4 linked regions of the Arabidopsis thaliana genome follow. The protein of the gene in region 3 interacts with the protein of the main gene of each other region in a biochemical or structural test. Each region holds a gene or a part of one and is shown on either strand. Other genes may lie near its edges. The genes, in order: CPK4, KEG, ABF1 and CDPK9.

Region 1 (5,264 bases), on a different chromosome or scaffold from region 3:
ATGAGTGTAAGAGAGAAATGATGAAAAAGAAGTAGAAGAAATAGAGTTAGGTTTGTTTGTAGTTTCTCAAACATAATAAGGGTATAATTGTCATTTATCATATATAATACAACTTTTAAGCGTTGACCGCAGCATTATGCCGCACTTACTTGCATCTGCCGCTGTTGCAGCAACCTAGATAATCAAACGAACATCTTATTAAAAAAAAACAGAAGCTGAAAGCCCAAGCTTATTTAAAGATGGGCCAATAGGGGCCTGCATAAAGTTCCAATTTTATTTAGAAAATATCTATTTAACATCATTTATGAATAAAGTGTCCTCCGATGCTATTTGGGTTTGGTTAAAGATGGATTTTGGAGGTTTTCCAAATGATGTCAGATTTTGAAGATGAACAATGAAATAAATATATCTAAAGCTTATACATCTAGGTCTCTTACCCAACGGCGATGAAATAAAGAATACATGTACTAAAACGACGCATGCAAAATAATACCTGAAATTTTCTTTCTACGTTGGAACTCATTGCAAAAGATGAGGAATATTGCATAGCCATGGATTGGATAGAGCCATAAAGAATCGGTACACATTGCTTTTCATATTTTAATATCGTTAAGGCGTAATGTAATAAGTATTAGAAATGGATTTTTAAAAGTATTTAGATAGTTCGGGTTTAAATTTTATTTTATTGCTGATTGGACTTTGTTTTACAATTATAGAGAAATAATTTTGTGTTAAATTATAGTATTATACGACATTCACACAATTACATTTACATTAACATGTACCACGTCTATTTTATAATATTGCTCCAAAACGAAAGAGTGGTCTTCACGACGAGCGAGGTTTAAAATTTGTAGTCGTGCATTGCAAAAAGCTGCGAAAACCGTGTGAACTCTCAACCAAACCAAATATGATATGAAGAAATTGGTTCTTGTCCATTCGGTGGTTAGTGTGCATGCATGTCGGTGAATTTTATATGTTTTCCATTTACGACCTTTTCTCTTTATATCATATAGATTTTTAGGGGAAAAAAAAATCATATAGATTTTTAAAAAATCATGTTCCCAATTAAGACATAATGTTTAGTAGCCAAATTGAGAACCAACCTTTTTTCTGTTTATTAAATAATTTAAGTGGATGGATTTTACACATATATTTTAATGTCTTACATAAATAAAATATCATGTTATTTTTTTTGATAATATCATGTTTTATTGATAAAATCCATACATACTTGATACTTGCAAAAAATATCATGCACAAATTTATCTCTATAAATGGTTATCTACCTTTTTTTTTTTTTTTTTTTTGAACACAATTTACCTAATAATCTTAATAAATATAAGAGAAATGTAACGCATACTTTTGTTGGACATTGTTTTTGGTCGAGTCTGATTGGTTTTTTGTTCAGATCTATCGGATTTATGTATTTAAGATCTAATAAACAAATTATAAAAAATTTGATTCGATTTGGTTATCGATTTTATTAATAATGTTAATATAATCCGACTTACTTTGGTTAGAAAAATTAATTCAAAAGTAACAACAAAAAAAAATTGGATAACAAAACCATCTAAAATCCTGCTAATTAATTCACATCTAATAACCGAATCCGAACCTAAATGACCAAACCATTTGTGTAAAAATCTCAAGCCTAGTCCCTATATTTCAATAGATTTTTTTCTTTTTTTTTTGGTCAAGATCAATAGATTTTTTTCATCAATTCAATTTATTGCAAATTTGCAATAATAGTTGGTAAATACTATAAATGTAAATGGTCACGGGATAACAAAAGAGCAATAATAATATAATAATTGCATAAGACGAGTCAACATGACCAAGAAACATTGAAGGGTTCGTAACTTCGTATCATCTTCCTCCTCCTCCTTTGATAAACACCAAAAAAAGGCAGAGACTTTCGAAATCAAGAACAATGGAGAAACCAAACCCTAGAAGACCCTCAAACAGTGTTCTTCCATACGAAACACCAAGATTAAGAGATCACTATCTCCTCGGCAAAAAGCTAGGCCAAGGCCAATTTGGAACAACCTATCTCTGTACAGAGAAATCATCATCAGCTAATTACGCTTGCAAATCAATCCCAAAACGTAAGCTTGTATGTCGTGAAGACTACGAAGATGTATGGCGTGAGATTCAGATCATGCATCATCTCTCTGAGCATCCTAATGTTGTTAGAATCAAGGGTACTTATGAAGACTCTGTTTTTGTTCACATTGTTATGGAAGTTTGTGAAGGTGGTGAGCTTTTTGATCGGATTGTTTCTAAAGGGTGTTTTAGTGAACGTGAAGCTGCTAAGTTGATTAAGACTATTCTTGGTGTTGTTGAGGCTTGTCATTCTCTTGGTGTTATGCATAGAGATCTTAAGCCTGAGAATTTCTTGTTTGATAGTCCCAGTGATGATGCTAAGCTTAAAGCTACAGACTTTGGTTTGTCTGTCTTCTACAAGCCAGGTTCGTTGTTGATTCTTCTCTTTTGATTGGAATCTTATGGTTTTTGTCTTTGTTGGTTGGTTCAAGGAAATGTTTTGATTTGGTTTCTTGATTCGGATTTGCTGCTTGAGCATTGTTAGGGAAAGATTGAATTTTGTTATATCTGGTTTTGACATTTAGTTGATATATATGGATGTGTTGATTGTGCAAGGTTTTGTTATATATGTAACATATGCTTATGGTTATGAAGCGATCTTATCAGATTTTATTCGATTCATTGTCTAGATTATGTTGAGAAATGTCTTGTTTGGTGTTGAAAATCGGTTTCATGATATGTTATCTGTAGAATCATTTGTTGAATGGTCATTTCCAATTTGCTGCTTGAGCATTGTTAGAGAACCAATAATTTTCTGTGGCTAGATCTTTCTGAATCTTTTCTTGCAAGATTTACATAGTTTTGTTGTGTTACTTATGCTTATGTAATGATGCTATCAGAGCTACATTGTGTCCGACTAATTTCAGTGCTTAACAAAATTTTCAATTGTGTGGGTTTGCATCTTCAGGGCAGTATCTGTATGATGTAGTTGGAAGTCCGTATTATGTTGCACCTGAGGTTCTGAAGAAATGTTATGGACCAGAGATAGACGTGTGGAGCGCCGGTGTTATCTTGTACATCTTACTAAGTGGGGTTCCTCCTTTTTGGGCAGGTAAGTTTGTGAAAGCTAGTACCGTTGTTACTACTGAATCAAGTATATTGCTTATGTGATTTAAGCATCCATGAGTAATTTGTTTGCAGAAACCGAGTCAGGAATCTTTAGGCAGATATTGCAAGGGAAGATAGATTTTAAATCTGATCCGTGGCCTACTATCTCAGAAGGTGCTAAAGATTTGATTTACAAAATGCTCGATAGGAGCCCCAAGAAACGTATTTCTGCACATGAAGCATTGTGTAAGTTGTTACTTATGATTGTTTTCCTCTCTGCTACATGTATTTTGTTGTTCATTTCTGTAAGATATAAGAATTGAGTTTTCCTCTGATGATATTATTAGGTCACCCTTGGATTGTTGATGAACATGCTGCACCAGACAAGCCTCTCGACCCAGCAGTCTTGTCGCGACTTAAGCAGTTCTCGCAAATGAATAAAATCAAGAAAATGGCCTTACGAGTAAGAAAGTTGTAGCCCTTTAGTCTCCACTCTCATTGCTTATTTTCAAGAACTGATTTCCCTGTTAGGAAGATCGACTAAGATAACACATTTTAAGAACTATTTTCAGGAAATGAATAAACTTAAGTAAATGGCCTTATAAGTTGGAAAGCTATAGTTCTTTAAACTCTCAATGCCATTGCTTATATTCAAGAACTGATTTCCCGGTTTAGGTAATCGCGGAGAGACTCTCGGAGGAAGAGATTGGTGGTCTGAAGGAATTGTTCAAAATGATAGATACAGACAACAGTGGAACAATCACCTTTGAAGAGCTTAAAGCAGGTCTAAAGAGAGTTGGATCTGAATTGATGGAATCAGAAATCAAGTCTCTTATGGATGCGGTAATTATACCAAAACAAAAACTCTCTTTTAGAATATTGATTTCTCCGTTCTTCTAGGAATCACAAAGCTTAAATGGTGTTTTGCAGGCGGATATAGACAACAGTGGGACAATAGACTACGGTGAATTCCTAGCAGCGACATTACATATAAACAAGATGGAGAGAGAAGAGAACTTGGTGGTTGCGTTTTCATACTTTGATAAAGATGGTAGCGGTTATATCACCATTGACGAGCTTCAACAAGCCTGCACAGAGTTTGGTCTCTGTGACACTCCTCTTGATGACATGATCAAAGAGATTGATCTTGATAATGTAAGAAGCCTTCATGATCTGTTTCCTTTGTCTTGTTTCTTAGTGAGTTTGGTTTAAAACTGATGATGAAAATATGTGGTTTTGTTAGGACGGGAAGATTGATTTCTCAGAGTTTACTGCTATGATGAAGAAAGGAGATGGTGTTGGGAGGAGCAGAACTATGAGGAACAACTTGAACTTCAATATAGCTGAAGCTTTTGGAGTTGAGGACACAAGCAGCACTGCTAAATCTGATGATTCACCAAAGTAATTATAATCATCTATATACTTGGAATTGAGAAATGAGAACTCACAAAAGAAAAACTGAATCTTTCCTTTTTGTTTTCGTTTCCACTTTTGTAGATGAGCAACTTTCTCAATTTTGTTATAAGCATGGATAATTTTGCTTCATATTTTCTGCGTATAGAACCATTATATGATCAGAATCACCCATATTTGGTCAAAGCAATGTCTTCAAGCATTTACATAATCATGTTTGTTATACATAAGCCAATAGGCTGCAGAGTCAGATCTCTGAATCAAGTATTCAATATACAAAGCCAATCATGATTCAGTAAACTAGCTACACAAACACTTACTACTACAAGGGGGTAAGAGAAGCTCTCAAATCGAAGACAATAAACAAATCAAAGCCAGAGTTAGCGATTTTAAGCTCCGCGATGTTGCAGAAACAATCTTCTTCTTTTATCTTGAGCTCATAAACACCTTTGAAATGCTGCCATGCGACTGAAAGGTGCTGCTCATCAATATCTATATAAATGATTATACTCTTCAGTCTTCGACTCTTCATTCATATACTCTCTTTCTCTTTAGAAGGGCAGGGAATATGGAGATGGATCCAATGAGGAACAGCACTGACAAGGTCTTGAAATCATACAAATCCTTTACTGATCTGAGATCTCCAAGAGCCAAACCAGCCTGTGTAAATGAAAGTAAATGTTAGCCTCTTAAACACG
Region 2 (4,929 bases), on a different chromosome or scaffold from region 3:
TGGATCAACACCTTCTTGTTTGTTCCACAGTTTAGTGCACTCCAAGTTGTCCTTAAACCGTTCCATTTCATCAGTTAAACCCCTCCAACCAATGCCAATGTTCAAAGTAGCTATATCCGCCCCTTGAACAACCTCCACAATTCTCCTCTCTGCGTAAGTTGTAAATCCCTATTGCCATGAACATGAAATAAACACTTTCCCATCAACAAGGCAAACTCTAAAAACGGACACACAGTTACACATCCTAATTTGTAGCTAAAAGAAGCAAAAGCACAAGACAATTCAAAGCTACCTCATTCAACCAGAAGTGTTCATTGTTGATATTAGTGATCAAATTCCCAGTCCAGCTATGTGCGAGCTCGTGAGCTACAACTTGAGCTCCAGTGGCGTCTCCTTTGATAACAGTAGGCGTCAGGAAAACCATTCTTGGATTCTCCATACCTCCATAAGGAAAACTCGGAGGCAGCACCAGTAAGTCAAATCTCTCCCACTCGTAATCTCCAAACAGCTTCTCCCCTTGCTTGATCATATCCTCCGTTCCTGCAAACTCCAGAGCAGCCGCATCTAGAACTTCAATGGCGGCAGATTCTGTGTATACCCGAGTCCTAGGTCCAACTTCCCGAAACCCTAACTCACCAACGGCAAAAGCAAATAGATAAGGCGGTATAGGCTGTTCCATAGCAAACTCTTCCACAACTCTATCCTCACCACACCACAGTGACGACCCCAGCGACCCAGCCTCGAGATGTTTAGCCTCCTCAGGAACCGCAAGCCTACGACGGACGTGGCGAGCCGACATGACGGCAGAGAGCGAATTCGGTATGTTCATAACGACGTCGTAACGGATCCTCGCGGCAGGAGTGTCCTGGCATGGGAAAATGGATCTGGCGTGAATCGCTTGACACTGCGTGTAGACATAAGGATGCAATTTGGAGAAAGTTTGAAGCGGCGAAAGCCACTGGAGAGCGGAAGCAGAAGGCGAAGTGGAGTAGACAATTAGCAGTGAAGATTGACCGGAGAGGACTACGACAACTTCGGTGCCCCGAATTCGATCCGGTGTGGTGGAGACGGAGTAAGGGATAGGCTCGAGAGTGAGAGGATCGAGGACCATAGCAATGGAAATGCAGCGAGTATCAAGAGAGAGTTCGCCGGAGAAGGCGGAGGAGAGAGTGAGGAGAGCGGAGCCATGGATTATGGAGGTGTTGAAATCGAGGTAGAGGGAGAGAGCGACATGCGTGGTGAGAGGATGAGAGGAATCGGTGAAAGAGTGTGGATCAATGGGTGCCATTGCTGAGTGAGAGAAGCTTGCTTAGGGTTTTGAGGAAAGGGGCAGTTAGAGAGGTGGAGAAGAGAGTATAAAGCGGGAGAAAAAGAAAAAATGAAGAATTGTTGTTCGATGGTACCATTTTATGATGATAAATAATGTATTTTTGGAATAATTTGGTTAATGGAGAATCATTTAGTGCATAAAGTTGAAACCGTTAGATATTAAACGGCGACTAAATACAATGTTAAACCCAAGTTGGATGAACCAAAAGCACACCAAGCCACCAACAATCCTGAGATTTTTAACAACCATCTTTTTGGGCTTGAGCCTCTATTGAGCTTCAAGTTTTAGGTCCATGAGTTATACACTCACACGAGTAATCTACTTAGCAACAAACAACGAGTTTACATTTTGGTATTGGTGTCAGATTTATCGTCTCATTATTTGGTGAACTCTATTACAAGATCAAACAATCTATTTGTTTTTGCATTTGGCTCAAAAGCTACTTGGTAAAAACTTCGCCAAAAAAAAAAACTCTCAGTAAAAATTACAATTATTTTTTCCTGATGGTTTAAGTTGTTGATGACAACAAATATAAAATCTGATGGTTGACGATTACTACTATTAGGAGAGTCAATAAACGGGTTCGAGCACAAGTGCTGACGGCACCCACCCGTCAAAACCGACGAAACCAGAGAGCCCTCGAGACTCAACCCCAAATAAAATTGGAAAAAAATGAAAATAAAAATAAAAATGATGATATAAAACCCTGAAGAAGAACCTTTTTCACATTTTTCTTACAATTTTTATTCTTGCTTGCTCGTGTCTGATTTTTCCCAGCCAATTTTGATCTACCTTTCAAAAATTCCACCTTTTTCTTTCTTCTCCATGGATCTGTTCTTCTCTCCTTGATCTGGATCGACTTTACTGAGTTTCCTTCCCCCCCCCCCCCCCCCAGATATGTTCTGAGGAACTCTCTCTACTGAATTGATTGGTCTTTCACTCCCTTCTTACTCTTTGATCTCGCGACCTAAATTAATTTAGGGCTTTCTCTTTTCGGAGCTCTCATGGTTGGGAGAGTCAAGGTCCCTTGTTGTTCCGTGTGCCACACGCGGTATAATGAAGATGAGAGAGTTCCTTTATTGCTTCAATGCGGCCATGGCTTCTGCAAAGATTGTCTTTCCAAGATGTTCTCTACTTCTTCCGACACAACCCTCACTTGTCCCCGGTGTCGCCACGTGTCTGTTGTTGGGAACTCTGTTCAGGGTCTCAGGAAGAACTACGCTATGCTTGCTCTCATTCACGCCGCATCCGGCGGCGCTAACTTCGATTGCGATTACACGGATGATGAGGATGACGACGATGAAGAAGATGGTAGTGATGAAGATGGAGCTCGTGCCGCTCGTGGATTTCATGCCTCAAGCTCGATTAATAGCTTGTGTGGTCCAGTGATCGAGGTCGGAGCTCACCCGGAGATGAAGCTGGTGAGGCAGATTGGGGAAGAGAGTAGTAGTGGTGGTTTTGGAGGTGTGGAGATGTGGGATGCAACTGTTGCAGGCGGTGGTGGACGGTGTAAGCACCGTGTGGCGGTGAAAAAGATGACTTTGACGGAGGACATGGATGTTGAGTGGATGCAGGGACAGCTTGAGAGCTTGCGGAGAGCATCCATGTGGTGTAGGAATGTTTGTACTTTCCATGGGGTTGTGAAGATGGATGGATCTCTTTGTCTTTTGATGGACAGGTGCTTTGGGTCTGTTCAGTCTGAGATGCAACGCAATGAAGGCAGACTTACTTTGGAGCAGATTCTAAGGTTCCTCTTTTGCTTCTCTTATTCTTTTTTTTTGCCTAGTATCTGGCTTTTACTGTGATCGTTTCTGTGCTTAAAGTCTCAAACTTTGATAGCCTGTTCCCTAATTAGAAATTACTGGACTAGACCCGACTTGGTTTTTTGTGATTGCTATTAGAAATATATATTGTAAGTGCACAGTTTTTCAGATTCTAGTGAAACAAGCAACTAAAACCTGGTGTCATTTGCCAAAAGGGCAACTTGTAAGATAACTTTAGTTTAGATGTTCTTAAAAAGCTAGGCACGAATTATAGTAGTTGTCATCTCTCTTTGTCATTACCAGCTGCAGCTACTTTTCATCTGTCAATGCCTCAATAGACAAACATTTTTTGGACTAGTCCTTTCCTTTTTAGTAGTGGATCCTTGAACCTACGTTTGCAAGATATCTTTGAGAAAGCCCTTTACATTAGTATGCTTCCTTCTAAAGTATATGACCAGAAATCATTTTTCAACGAACTGACATATCAAATCATGCAAAAAATTGTACGAATTGTTATACATTAATTTATCAAAGGACGCATCATCTAAAGATGATCCTTATTTTGTTGTCCTGGTTCTAATATTACCTTCAATTCACTTGTTTGTATTTCCTCCTATTTTCTGTTTTTAACTGAATTGCGTCATTTGGGACTATTAAATGTAAGCACTAATGCGTAAATGAGTGTTTTGTATTCTCCTTTCATATCGTGCTCATGTTGTTTTAAGTTTACAACTTAGAATATTCCTTCAGTGACCAACATATGTATTATTCCATTGCTCTTGTTGTGATATTAAATTTTACCAACTGTAGATATGGGGCTGATGTTGCTCGAGGGGTTGCAGAACTCCATGCAGCAGGTGTTATCTGTATGAATATAAAACCTTCCAATCTTCTTTTGGATGCAAGCGGCAATGCTGTGGTTTCTGATTATGGGCTCGCTCCCATCCTAAAGAAGCCAACATGCCAGAAAACTCGACCAGAGTTTGATTCCTCAAAAGTCACTCTATACACGGACTGTGTAACACTCAGTCCACACTACACTGCCCCAGAGGCTTGGGGACCGGTGAAAAAACTTTTTTGGGAGGATGCAAGTGGTGTATCTCCAGAATCAGATGCATGGAGTTTTGGCTGTACGTTAGTAGAGATGTGCACTGGATCCACTCCGTATGTGAAGCCTCTTCCTAGTTGATATTTCAGTTGTGTTTTGTGTCTGCCATTGTACTAACTGTCACTTAATTTTACAGGTGGGATGGTCTTAGTAGAGAAGAAATTTTTCAAGCTGTTGTGAAAGCCCGAAAAGTACCACCACAGTATGAACGCATAGTGGGTGTGGGAATTCCTCGGGAATTATGGAAAATGATTGGTGAATGTCTTCAGTTTAAACCGTCGAAAAGACCAACCTTTAATGCAATGCTTGCTACATTTCTTCGTCATCTACAAGAGATACCACGTAGCCCTTCAGCAAGCCCTGATAAGTAAGAGTTTTAAGTCCCTAAGATTACTTAGTTTTATGGTTTCCCTGTTTTCGTTGCTTGTCAGTAAAGAAGACCCTTTCACTTGTGTTAAGATTAATATTAGCACCAACACCTAAGATTATTTTTGTCATCATGCCTATATTCCTTCGCCTAACAATAATATAAACCATGTATGATGTAGTGGGATTGCCAAAATATGTGAAGTAAACATTGTACAAGCACCTCGCGCGACTAACATAGGGGTCTTTCAGGATAACCCTAACAACCTACATCGGGTTGTTTTGGAGGGAGACTTTGAGGGTGTAAGGTTAGTATCTGTTAGGAATTCTAGTTAATCCTTTTGTTCGCACTAGCTATAAAC
Region 3 (4,877 bases):
AACTTGACTACTTTTGATGGAAGCTGAGTTTTAAAAACTTGAAGTTTTTTCAGGTTATGTAGATCCGGAATATGTAGTAACGCAAGAGTTGACAGAGAAGAGTGATGTGTACAGCTACGGAGTTGTGTTGCTGGAGCTCATAACCGGGAGAAGAGCAGTTGATGAAGGTAGGAACCTTGTGGAAATGTCTCAGCGGTTTTTGTTGGCGAAATCAAAACACCTCGAGTTGGTAGACCCGAGAATCAAAGACTCTATTAATGATGCTGGAGGAAAACAACTTGATGCAGTTGTGACGGTTGTGAGATTGTGTACCGAGAAAGAAGGCCGGTCTAGGCCATCAATTAAGCAAGTCTTGAGGCTGTTGTGTGAAAGCTGTGATCCGGTGCATAGCGCATTTGCTAAAGCGGTTGAAGAAGAGATAGGCTGGGATAGTAGGAAGAGAAGCAATTTGAGAATTCAAAGAGGTGATTCCCGGATCTTTGGTCCATCGTCTAGTACTACTTCCAGGTCACATTACAGCCGGAGTTTACCTCACTCTCCAATTAACGGATTTTCTTTCTGAGTTAGTCACATCTTCTCTATAGCTAAATCTGAAAGTTTTACATATGTTTATGAAAATTATGAATTCATATTGAAAGCTCTCATACTCTACACAGACTGCACTCTTAGTTAAATTCAGCTCAAAAGATTTCTACATTGTAAGCGTCTCTGTAATTTCTCCTGTACAGTAGCACTATCTTCTATTACATATTACTCTCCCAGTGTCTTCCTTTTGAGTGGTCCTGTATTACATTAGCAGGTTCTTCTTGCTTTGACTTCACCTTCTTACCACGGACCGGTAAGGGTTCTTCTCAAGCATTGTCTTTTGGCCAGCAATGGAGGCTGCTTCGAAAATTCCTTTAGCTGCAAATTCAAGTACTAGTATCAGTGAACTGTGTGTCATCAAAATGACAATAGAGCTACATTTAGACAGACACAAAATGTCTGGTAATGTAGAGACAATGATGGTGTATACATGAAATATACATAAGTAGAGGAAAAACGTTATTACCTCACTATTATGGGTTTTCATTATTTCAGCCTGCAACATAGAGAGACCGCAGTTAAATAACTGAGCCAGCTAGACTCTCTATGGAGAAGCAATAAAAATGGTAGAAGAAAAAAACCTGTTTCTTCTGCAAATCTTGATTCACTAGCTTGAGACTTTCAATCTCAGCTTCCAGTTCCAAGGTATAAGCCTGAGGTTTAGCCAAAACATCAAAATGATTTCAAAGTTCTTGAAAAGAAAACGGTAATGGCAGTTTGGTTAGATGATATTGATATCAAAGTTTTTGAGAACAAAACGGTAACTTTACCTGTTTTCGAGCCCTTGATCTAGCAGCGGATTCCCGATTCTTGATCATTCTCTTTTGCCTTCTCTCAACAACCTTCTCCAGGCCCGTATTGCTTCTTCTTCCCCGACCAAACACGTAAGGAACTGGTGATGACCAAGTATTGTTTTCTGCACTGCTCGTCCCAGGAGAAGTAGCTGTAACAGTACCCCCTGCTCCTCCCATATTACTGTTGGCTGGACCATCTGCGCTAGTCTCAAATAAACCCCTGTTGACCATATTTACAGGCGCCGCAAATGTTACATTCGCTTGTTTTGGAAAGATAGTTGGAGGCAGTCTCTGATGTGGCTGCTGCAACTGCTGCTGATGTGGCTGCTGCTGCTGCTGCATGGTTCCACCAACTTTGAGGCCTAAACCAGGTGCTTGATTCATGATCATAGAACTATTGTTCCCGTTGAACGATATGCTGTTTTGATTCGGCTGACCAAATCCAAACTCCAAACCAGCAGCACCGTTGTTAGCATAAAACCCGCTACTACTGTTTTCGTTCTGCTGAGTATTATCTTCTTTAACAACGCCAGCACGGAGTAAGAAATCTTCCAGAGTCATTTCCCCTAAAGTCTGTTGCCTCTCAAGCGCATCCGTTCCAGTATTCCCATTACTACCTTCTTTCGAATTCAGGTATTTCCAGACTTCATCGACAGTCTTCTGACTAAGCGTTCTAGGCAAGGTCAAGGAGCCTTGCCTCTGTAAACCATTTCCTCCCGGAACAAAACCACTAGGTCCCGGGGCTGCAACCGAAGATGTAGTAGTCATAAAGGCTTGAGTATCCTCAGCAGTCCATATGTTCTTGAGTAACTCATCCATATTCATAGACCCAAAATCTTTCCCCGGCTCACCTAATGTGCTCTGAAGCTCATCAAACGTTAAGGAATATAACGAAGACTGCCTCGCCAATGGCTTTGACTCATTCCCTCTAGAAGTATCGCCGCCTAAGTTGTTGATATCAATGTGAGTACCCATACTTCTTTTCTGTTTCACAACGGAATCACTTCCTTCCAAATTCTTCAGTGAAAAAACAAACGAATCAGACCCTTTTAGCTTTACCTAAGAGAGAACAAGACCAGAAAATTGAAACTGGTTTAGGAGTATAACACACCACACAACTATGTGTCACATAGTGCTTTTAAGTATACTTGCATAAGAGCAAGCAAAGAAGACCAAAAGCAAAAGGCAGGAACGTTCATATAAATGTCAAAACTTTATAAAGTTTTAGCCAGAAGCAATCAATCACAAACATATACATAGAAGTGTGTGATACAGAGAGTATAAATTGGATCCTTGGATTCAGAGAGAAATATAAGATTGGATCAAAATCCATAACTTTGACCATTCTTGAATGTATCTAAAAGATAGATCTATAAAAGATTCTGGAGTAAAAGCAAGATCACACAAACCCTCAAGAAGAAAAACAAAAAAGTCTTATCCTTTAATTTCTTTAGGAATAGTTACTTCATTACTACTACTACTTGATTTAGAACATAGAACCAAAAAAAAGACAAAACAGATATTATGAATCGGACCCAAAAAAAAAAAAAGTATAACACTTCAGGGGATGTGATAAGACAAAGACAGATTCGAGAAGAAAAGAAAACGAAAACGGATAAACAAAAAGAAGGAAGCTTTACCTAATATTATAGGCGATTGCTGAAAATAGAGAAGAGCTGCGAGAGAGAGAAGAGACGACAAGTGTGTTTGTAGTAGCTTCGACACGAACTGCCATTTTAAGGGGTTAAGCTTTTTCCTCTTATGGTTTTTTATTTTATTTATTGTTTAGATATTTTGCTTTCATTTTTTGGTAATAAACTAATAAATATCCCGTTTTAATGATTATTAAACATAGTCACTTAATTTAGCTGACAACCACGTTCATTTTTAACCAATAAGAAGCTGTAACGTGTGAGAGCTTTAGTCGCTGATTGTGTCCTTTGCCTTGTTTGTTTTCTTTAAAAATGGGATTAGATCTGATACAAATATCCATATTAACCTTGCCATTTAGACATTATTTCTGATCTTAATTAACTAACCGAAGAAAGTTTGGATAATTATAGTATTTCAATTTTAATTCGCCAACAGAAATTTTTTAAATATCGAATTCTGTGTTGTAAACTGCACAATTTTACTTCAATTCGACTCCAAGAAAATTACTAAAAAGGAAATTGATTTTTTTTTTACTTATGAACCGCAGTAAATTTTTGTTTGATTTTTAGTTGGCTAATTTTTTTTCAAAACCAAAATTCTAAAAAATCAAATCCTAACTCATCTGAAGTTTATGAATGTCTAGTCATATATTGTTGGTGTTTACCGCGATCAAAGAGAAAATCAAACCACAACAATGTTCGTAGATGGTGGTAATCTATGCACATGACAAAATACTCTATATACAATCGAACAAACTACTAGACTAGAGGTTTTTGGTTAAAATTTTATTTTGCATTTAAATAATTTTCTATGCATATAAAAAAATAAGAAATGAAATGGGAATAAAATTATAGTATAGTATCATGTCGGTCGGAACACCAAATGATTAAATTATGTGCCAAATTAATTTTAATATCATATTGTTGTTACTCATGTAAGATATTTTGTGTGCTTGATAAACTGTGATTATTATACATGAATGATGTTGAAACAACGGCAGAAGTGGGTAGTGATTCTTTTTGGGTCCCATCATCCCAATGGTGTGCGAATTTTGACATCAAGCAATAATCATTATATCCAAGCAACCCAAAAGAAGAAGACTTTTAAGAAGATTTGCGTCGAGTTTAATACAATTCACTTCCAAATTTGGAAATTTTGCCCTCTCCTCACTTGGTAAATGGTATGTTGATGATTTCTACTTCTTTATAATTTGATAACTTATTTAAAAGAATTGTCTACTTTCGTGTCACCGTTGGGCCAGCGTATAGAATGAGCATCAAACCATGATAGAGTTCTCCTTCATTCTTTCTTTTTGTCATATATGTGATCATTGGTATTTTTTTTTTTGTCAATATTAATTTAGATTCATACGAGCTAATTCCGGGAAATATTGTTTACATATGTAATCATTGGTATTGTAATGCTAATTTTGTTTCTTTTTTTTTAAAAACTTCCGCTTTCTTGTGGAGCAAAACATATCAATTACCCATTCAACAACTTTCTAGTCTCTACTAACAAACCTCACGACTTTGTTAATCAAAAAAGAAAAATTACCTCTACTACTAGAAGTAAAAATAAATGAAAAGGAAGAGTTTTCTAATGGGTAAAAATCCAAAAAAAAACCTTAACTAATTTTTATTTAAACGTTTAATACCCAATTGTTTTTTCTAAGAAGAAAAATACATGAAAAATACATGAAATAATAAAACTGTGCAATTTAAATATTCAAACAATTAAATATTGTTATTTTCATACTCACGATCTGACAACAAAAATAAAATTTTAATTTTACCCTTATCATCTCAATTAACTATTAATTTTTTAGATTATATGACATTAATTTTC
Region 4 (4,596 bases), on a different chromosome or scaffold from region 3:
GGTTTGTTTTGTGCAGGTTTCATCATGATGTGTCCTCAGCTATTCATCAACTACAAGCTTAAATCAGTGGCACATTTACCATGGAGACAGATGACTTACAAGTTCCTCAACACCATTATCGACGATCTCTTTGCCTTTGTCATCAAAATGCCGATTTTACATCGACTTTCTGTATTCAGAGATGGTGAGTAAAATCTATCAAATTCCTCTCTATTTCGATTCAGATTTTCAGAAACAGTCTTATTTAATGGATCTCTCTCTCTGTGTTTCAGATGTGATATTCTTGATATACTTATACCAAAGGTGGGTTTACCCAGTGGATAAGACACGTGTGAACGAGTTCGGTTTTGGAGGTGAGGATGAAACTGCAGAGAAGAAGTTGATCACTGAGAAAGAAGAAGAAGACAAGAAAACAAACTAATCTCTTCTCTTCTTCAAATTTTATTACAGTTCAGTTATAGTGTCTTAATTTATTTTTGTTCTCACTTTTGGAAATTGTTTTGTTCAAGTTTAATGTCAACCCTCAAGACACATTATTAAGCAACTCCTTTGGTTTTTTGTGAAAAAGGAAAAAAACAACATTTTCTCTAAAGCTCTGAGATATGGTAAAATCCATGGGAAAATTCTACAAATTGTTGAGAGCTTACAATTTCAATTACTAAGAGTTGTTAAAAGCAGAATTAGAGTAAGCAGAAACAGCAAGTTGTATCATATGACATGTTTTGCTCCATAAAGTCGCTAAATTATTTTCACTAAAAATGAGTACTTCAGACATTCATAGACTCATCAGGAAGAGTAGTTCCAAAGTTGAGAGAGTTCCTCATAGTTCTCCGACCAATCCCTCCTCCAGTGCCATTTCCTTTCCTCATCATTGCCACAAATTCTCCATAGTCTATTTGTCCATCCTACAAAAAAAAAGCAACCACCATAAACATTTCTTCCAAGCTCTTCATCAAACAAACAGTAAAGATCATTTGTGTACTACTCACATTATCTTGATCAATGTCTTTGATCATTTCATCAAGATTAGAATCGTTTATACCAAACTCCTTCCATGCCTGTTGAAGCTCTTCGATAGTGATGTAACCACTTGCATCCTTATCAAAGAAAGAGAATGCAGCTACTAGATTCTCCTCTCTCTCCAGCTTGTTCAAGTGGATTGTTGCAGCTAAGAACTCTCCATAGTCAATTGTTCCACTCTCATCAACATCAGCCTAACACACACACACACAATGAGAAGATGATATTACTTCCAGCCACAACAAAGATGTTAAAAGTGAAAGTTGATAATAAAGGAGTAGTAGCTAGTTTACCGCACGCAAGAGTTCTTGGATCTCTGATTCCATAAGCTCTGACCCAACACGTCTCATACTATCTTTTAACTCTTCAAACGTGATAGTCCCACTTTTATCTGTGTCTATCATTTTGAACAGTTCTTTGAGACCACCGATTTCTTCCTCAGATAGTCTCTCTGCAATAACTCGTAAAGCCATCTTCTTAAGTTTGTTCATTGCAGAGAACTTCTTCAGGCGGGACACTACCGCGCAGTCCAAAGGTTTATCTGGAGCAACCTTATCATCCACAATCCACGGATGACCTGACACAAGAACATATGAATCAGCTTACAAGAAAAAAAAACTCATCAACTTTCGCAGACATGACAACTTACACAACACTTGATGAGCAGTTAGCCTCTTTTTAGGATTGCTTTCAAGCATTTTCTTTATAAGATCTTTGGCACTCTCTGAAATGCTAGGCCAAGGATTGATCTCAAACTCCAACTTTCCCTGTAAAATCTTCCTGAAGATGCCTATTTCACTCTCTGGATACAGAATAAGACACCGAGAGAGAGTAAGCACTTGGTGGAAACAATGCATTTATAAAGAAAGAAGGCATTGGAAATATACCAGCCCAAAAAGGAGGAAAACCACATAAGAGAATGTAGAGGATAACTCCAGCACTCCATACGTCACATTCAGGACCATAATGCTTATGTAAAACCTCAGGTGCCACATAGTAAGCACTACCAACGAGTTCCGAAAATGCTTCTCCTGAAAGACAAAGATTTGTGTGTCCAAAACAAGAGCTCCTTATCAAACTAATTCAGCTAAACCACACACAGTCACTGCATTTGAAAGATGGGATCTTAAGCAAGGGGTCAATGTGCTCTTTTAAAGTACTACTAATAGACAAACTGACTCATCAAGTAACGAAATTGATACTCATAAACATCCCCAACACAGTCACGGAACAAAATTAGAGAAGAACAAGAACAAATTCACACCTGGTGTGCAGAAAACAGAGAGGCCAAAGTCAGTAGATTTAAGAGAAGCATCTTCATCAGAAGAAGAAAACAAGAAATTCTCAGGCTTAAGATCTCTATGAACAACACCAAGAGAGTGACACGCCTCAACAACCCCAACAATGGTCTTGATAAGCTTAGCAGCTTCTCTTTCACTGTAATGACCTCTCTTCACAATTCTATCAAACAACTCACCTCCTTCACAAAGCTCCATCACAAGATGCACGTTTTTGGTGTCCTCGTACGCACTCTCTATACGGACAACGTTGGGGTATTCAGACAAGTGATGCATTATCTGGATCTCTCTCAGAACGTCGTCGTAATCTTCTTGACAAAGGAGCTTCCTTTTGGGTATGGATTTGCAGGCAAGCTTTTGACCTGTCTGTTTATGGGTACAGAGGAAAGTGGTTCCGAATTGGCCTTGTCCAAGGACTTGACCAAGAAAGTAATTGTCTTCAACGTTTTTGGTCTTGTAAGGAAGAACCCATCTGGTTCTTGGTTTGTTCGCCATTCTTGAGAGCTTTTTTTTATTTCTTTGAGGGTTTCGTTTAAGCAGAGGAAGAAGAAGAGAAACTGTTGAATGAGGAAAGAAACTGACTTGGAGAAGGCATTGAAGAGAGAGAGAGAGAGAGAGAGAGAGAGAGGGAAGTCAAGAGTTAGGAGAGAAATAAAACCAAGTTTTGGACAATGATTGATTAGCTAATAATAGCTTTCCATTTCAGATTTTTTGTCCACATCAAATGAAAAAATGGGAAGTAAAACAAATTCCATGAATGCTTTTAACTGAATGAAGGAAAAAAATTCATTGATAGTTGAATTATTAATTAGTTGATATTTTTATATTTTCTAAATATATAAATTTGGTCAAATACTCAAATATATTAATCAGGTAATATACTACCAGAGTCCAAATTTTTATTTTTATTTTTAACTTTATTAAAGTTAAATAAATTTAATTGTTTAATAAGGCACAATGCATTCAAAATGTACAATATTGCCTCTTTTAACTTTTAAGAAATAAAATTATATGATATCTAATAGTATAGACTAATTAAAGAAGTAGTTGTAGCGATAGTGTTAATTAATTTAATACTTTATTGCATACTTTTTGCAAAAAAAAACAATGTAATTTACAACTTAAAACTGCAATAAAAAGGAAAAAAAAAAAGTTAATTGAGTTTTTATGAATAAAATTTTCTACTTAATGAAGATATGTATCTACACTACGTACAGTACTTAGGGCACTAAATAAAGGCAAAAACGTCTCCTTCGCTTACATACGAAGAAACTGTAGCTCGTTTTAAATTATAGCCTTTTTTTCCTAAACCTAAATTACTTTTATTCAAGAAACTATTTTTGTCACATGTATTTTCTGCTAATATGATGAAGACATCGAATCATTTTAGAAAAGAAAATTAAAAGGAAAATTTCATTCTCTTTCATACGCATTCTAGTTTGTGTCTTTGCCTCCTCTCGTTTGGTTTCTAACTTTCTGTCAGTGTCCACTTTATTTATTTAGTAACCATCAACCCTGTGCTTAATTACATTTTAAATCCATATATCTTCTAAACATCACATTTTTATACTATTGTAGTGATTGAATTATCAAATAAATGAGATATTTGGTGAAATCATGGACAAACACATGAAATCTACAACAGAATTCCAAATGAAACTAGATAAAGGAATATTATACAAATCCAAAATTTTCTTCAAAACAAAAACTTGTTTGAAAAAGACTTCCGGTACAAATTGAAAGCTCTCCTGAAGATGATACGAAGCATTTTTTTTTTCGAGAAGAGTTAGAATTTTAAATTCTACAACAACAACTGATATGAGATTGGATGTACACAAACAATGTATAAGGAGCTTAATTCTTAATCATGAAGCAGAGCTTTATTCTTTATCACTTTGGTCTTGAAGGAGCTTTGTTCTTGATCATGTGGCTTAAACCCCTCGCTTTTTCTGGTCCATAGCCGCCTGTTGAAGAGAGTAAAATATGAGAGTTCTTGAGAAAAAAAAACACAAACGAATGAATCAGCAAGAACCTGAGGAGCGTAGAAAAATACCTGTAGCAGTCTTTGCATGACGGCATCTTCATAAGCTTGAAGACCGGCACCTACTATGTTACTCTGCGGTTCTGCTTCTGCAGATTTCTTAGCCGTCAGAAAATCAGTTTGGGCTGCTTTCTGAAGAGGTACAACCAACAATGGATTAGAAAGATTGCCACACAATGTCCTCGTCGCTGCAACCTATAAGACAAAAAACAAATTGAATCAATTTAACTTCTTGAT

The links.
Region 1: of the proteins of ABF1 (region 3) and CPK4, one has a biochemical effect on the other in vitro, tested with the Arabidopsis thaliana proteins (one study listed by BioGRID).
Region 2: of the proteins of ABF1 (region 3) and KEG, one has a biochemical effect on the other in vitro, tested with the Arabidopsis thaliana proteins (one study listed by BioGRID).
Region 4: of the proteins of ABF1 (region 3) and CDPK9, one has a biochemical effect on the other in vitro, tested with the Arabidopsis thaliana proteins (one study listed by BioGRID).

Annotation. Positions count from the first base shown.
Region 1 is NC_003075.7:6,047,627-6,052,890, forward strand, and holds CPK4 (calcium-dependent protein kinase 4), read left to right. Parts: upstream 1-1,814; 5' UTR 1,815-1,933; coding exon 1,934-2,471; intron 2,472-3,013; coding exon 3,014-3,157; intron 3,158-3,246; coding exon 3,247-3,399; intron 3,400-3,500; coding exon 3,501-3,616; intron 3,617-3,828; coding exon 3,829-3,996; intron 3,997-4,083; coding exon 4,084-4,308; intron 4,309-4,396; coding exon 4,397-4,558; 3' UTR 4,559-4,754; downstream 4,755-5,264. Other genes in the region: AT4G09580 (SNARE associated Golgi protein family), read right to left, coding at 5,095-5,226. UniProt on the Arabidopsis thaliana protein: May play a role in signal transduction pathways that involve calcium as a second messenger. Functions as a regulator of the calcium-mediated abscisic acid (ABA) signaling pathway. Phosphorylates ABA-responsive transcription factors ABF1 and ABF4 in vitro.
Region 2 is NC_003076.8:4,343,284-4,348,212, forward strand, and holds the start of KEG (protein kinases;ubiquitin-protein ligase), read left to right. Parts: upstream 1-1,918; 5' UTR 1,919-2,334; coding exon 2,335-3,077; intron 3,078-3,903; coding exon 3,904-4,257; intron 4,258-4,337; coding exon 4,338-4,568; intron 4,569-4,749; coding exon 4,750-4,875; intron 4,876-4,929. Other genes in the region: AT5G13520 (peptidase M1 family protein), read right to left, coding at 1-168, 293-1,288. UniProt on the Arabidopsis thaliana protein: Mediates E2-dependent protein ubiquitination. Acts as a negative regulator of abscisic acid signaling. Required for ABI5 degradation, by mediating its ubiquitination.
Region 3 is NC_003070.9:18,398,303-18,403,179, reverse strand, and holds ABF1 (abscisic acid responsive element-binding factor 1), read right to left. Parts: upstream 3,175-4,877; 5' UTR 3,020-3,174; intron 2,994-3,019; exon of another isoform or gene 2,397-2,993; 5' UTR 2,355-2,396; coding exon 1,356-2,354; intron 1,239-1,355; coding exon 1,167-1,238; intron 1,082-1,166; coding exon 1,027-1,081; intron 904-1,026; coding exon 818-903; 3' UTR 563-817; downstream 1-562. Other genes in the region: AT1G49730 (Protein kinase superfamily protein), read left to right, coding at 54-562. UniProt on the Arabidopsis thaliana protein: Binds to the ABA-responsive element (ABRE). Could participate in abscisic acid-regulated gene expression.
Region 4 is NC_003076.8:7,949,621-7,954,216, forward strand, and holds CDPK9 (calmodulin-like domain protein kinase 9), read right to left. Parts: upstream 3,000-4,596; 5' UTR 2,814-2,999; coding exon 2,285-2,813; intron 2,052-2,284; coding exon 1,908-2,051; intron 1,823-1,907; coding exon 1,670-1,822; intron 1,598-1,669; coding exon 1,314-1,597; intron 1,215-1,313; coding exon 990-1,214; intron 906-989; coding exon 768-905; 3' UTR 582-767; downstream 1-581. Other genes in the region: AT5G23575 (Transmembrane CLPTM1 family protein), read left to right, coding at 17-184, 273-421; AT5G23590 (DNAJ heat shock N-terminal domain-containing protein), read right to left, coding at 4,250-4,282, 4,372-4,554. UniProt on the Arabidopsis thaliana protein: May play a role in signal transduction pathways that involve calcium as a second messenger.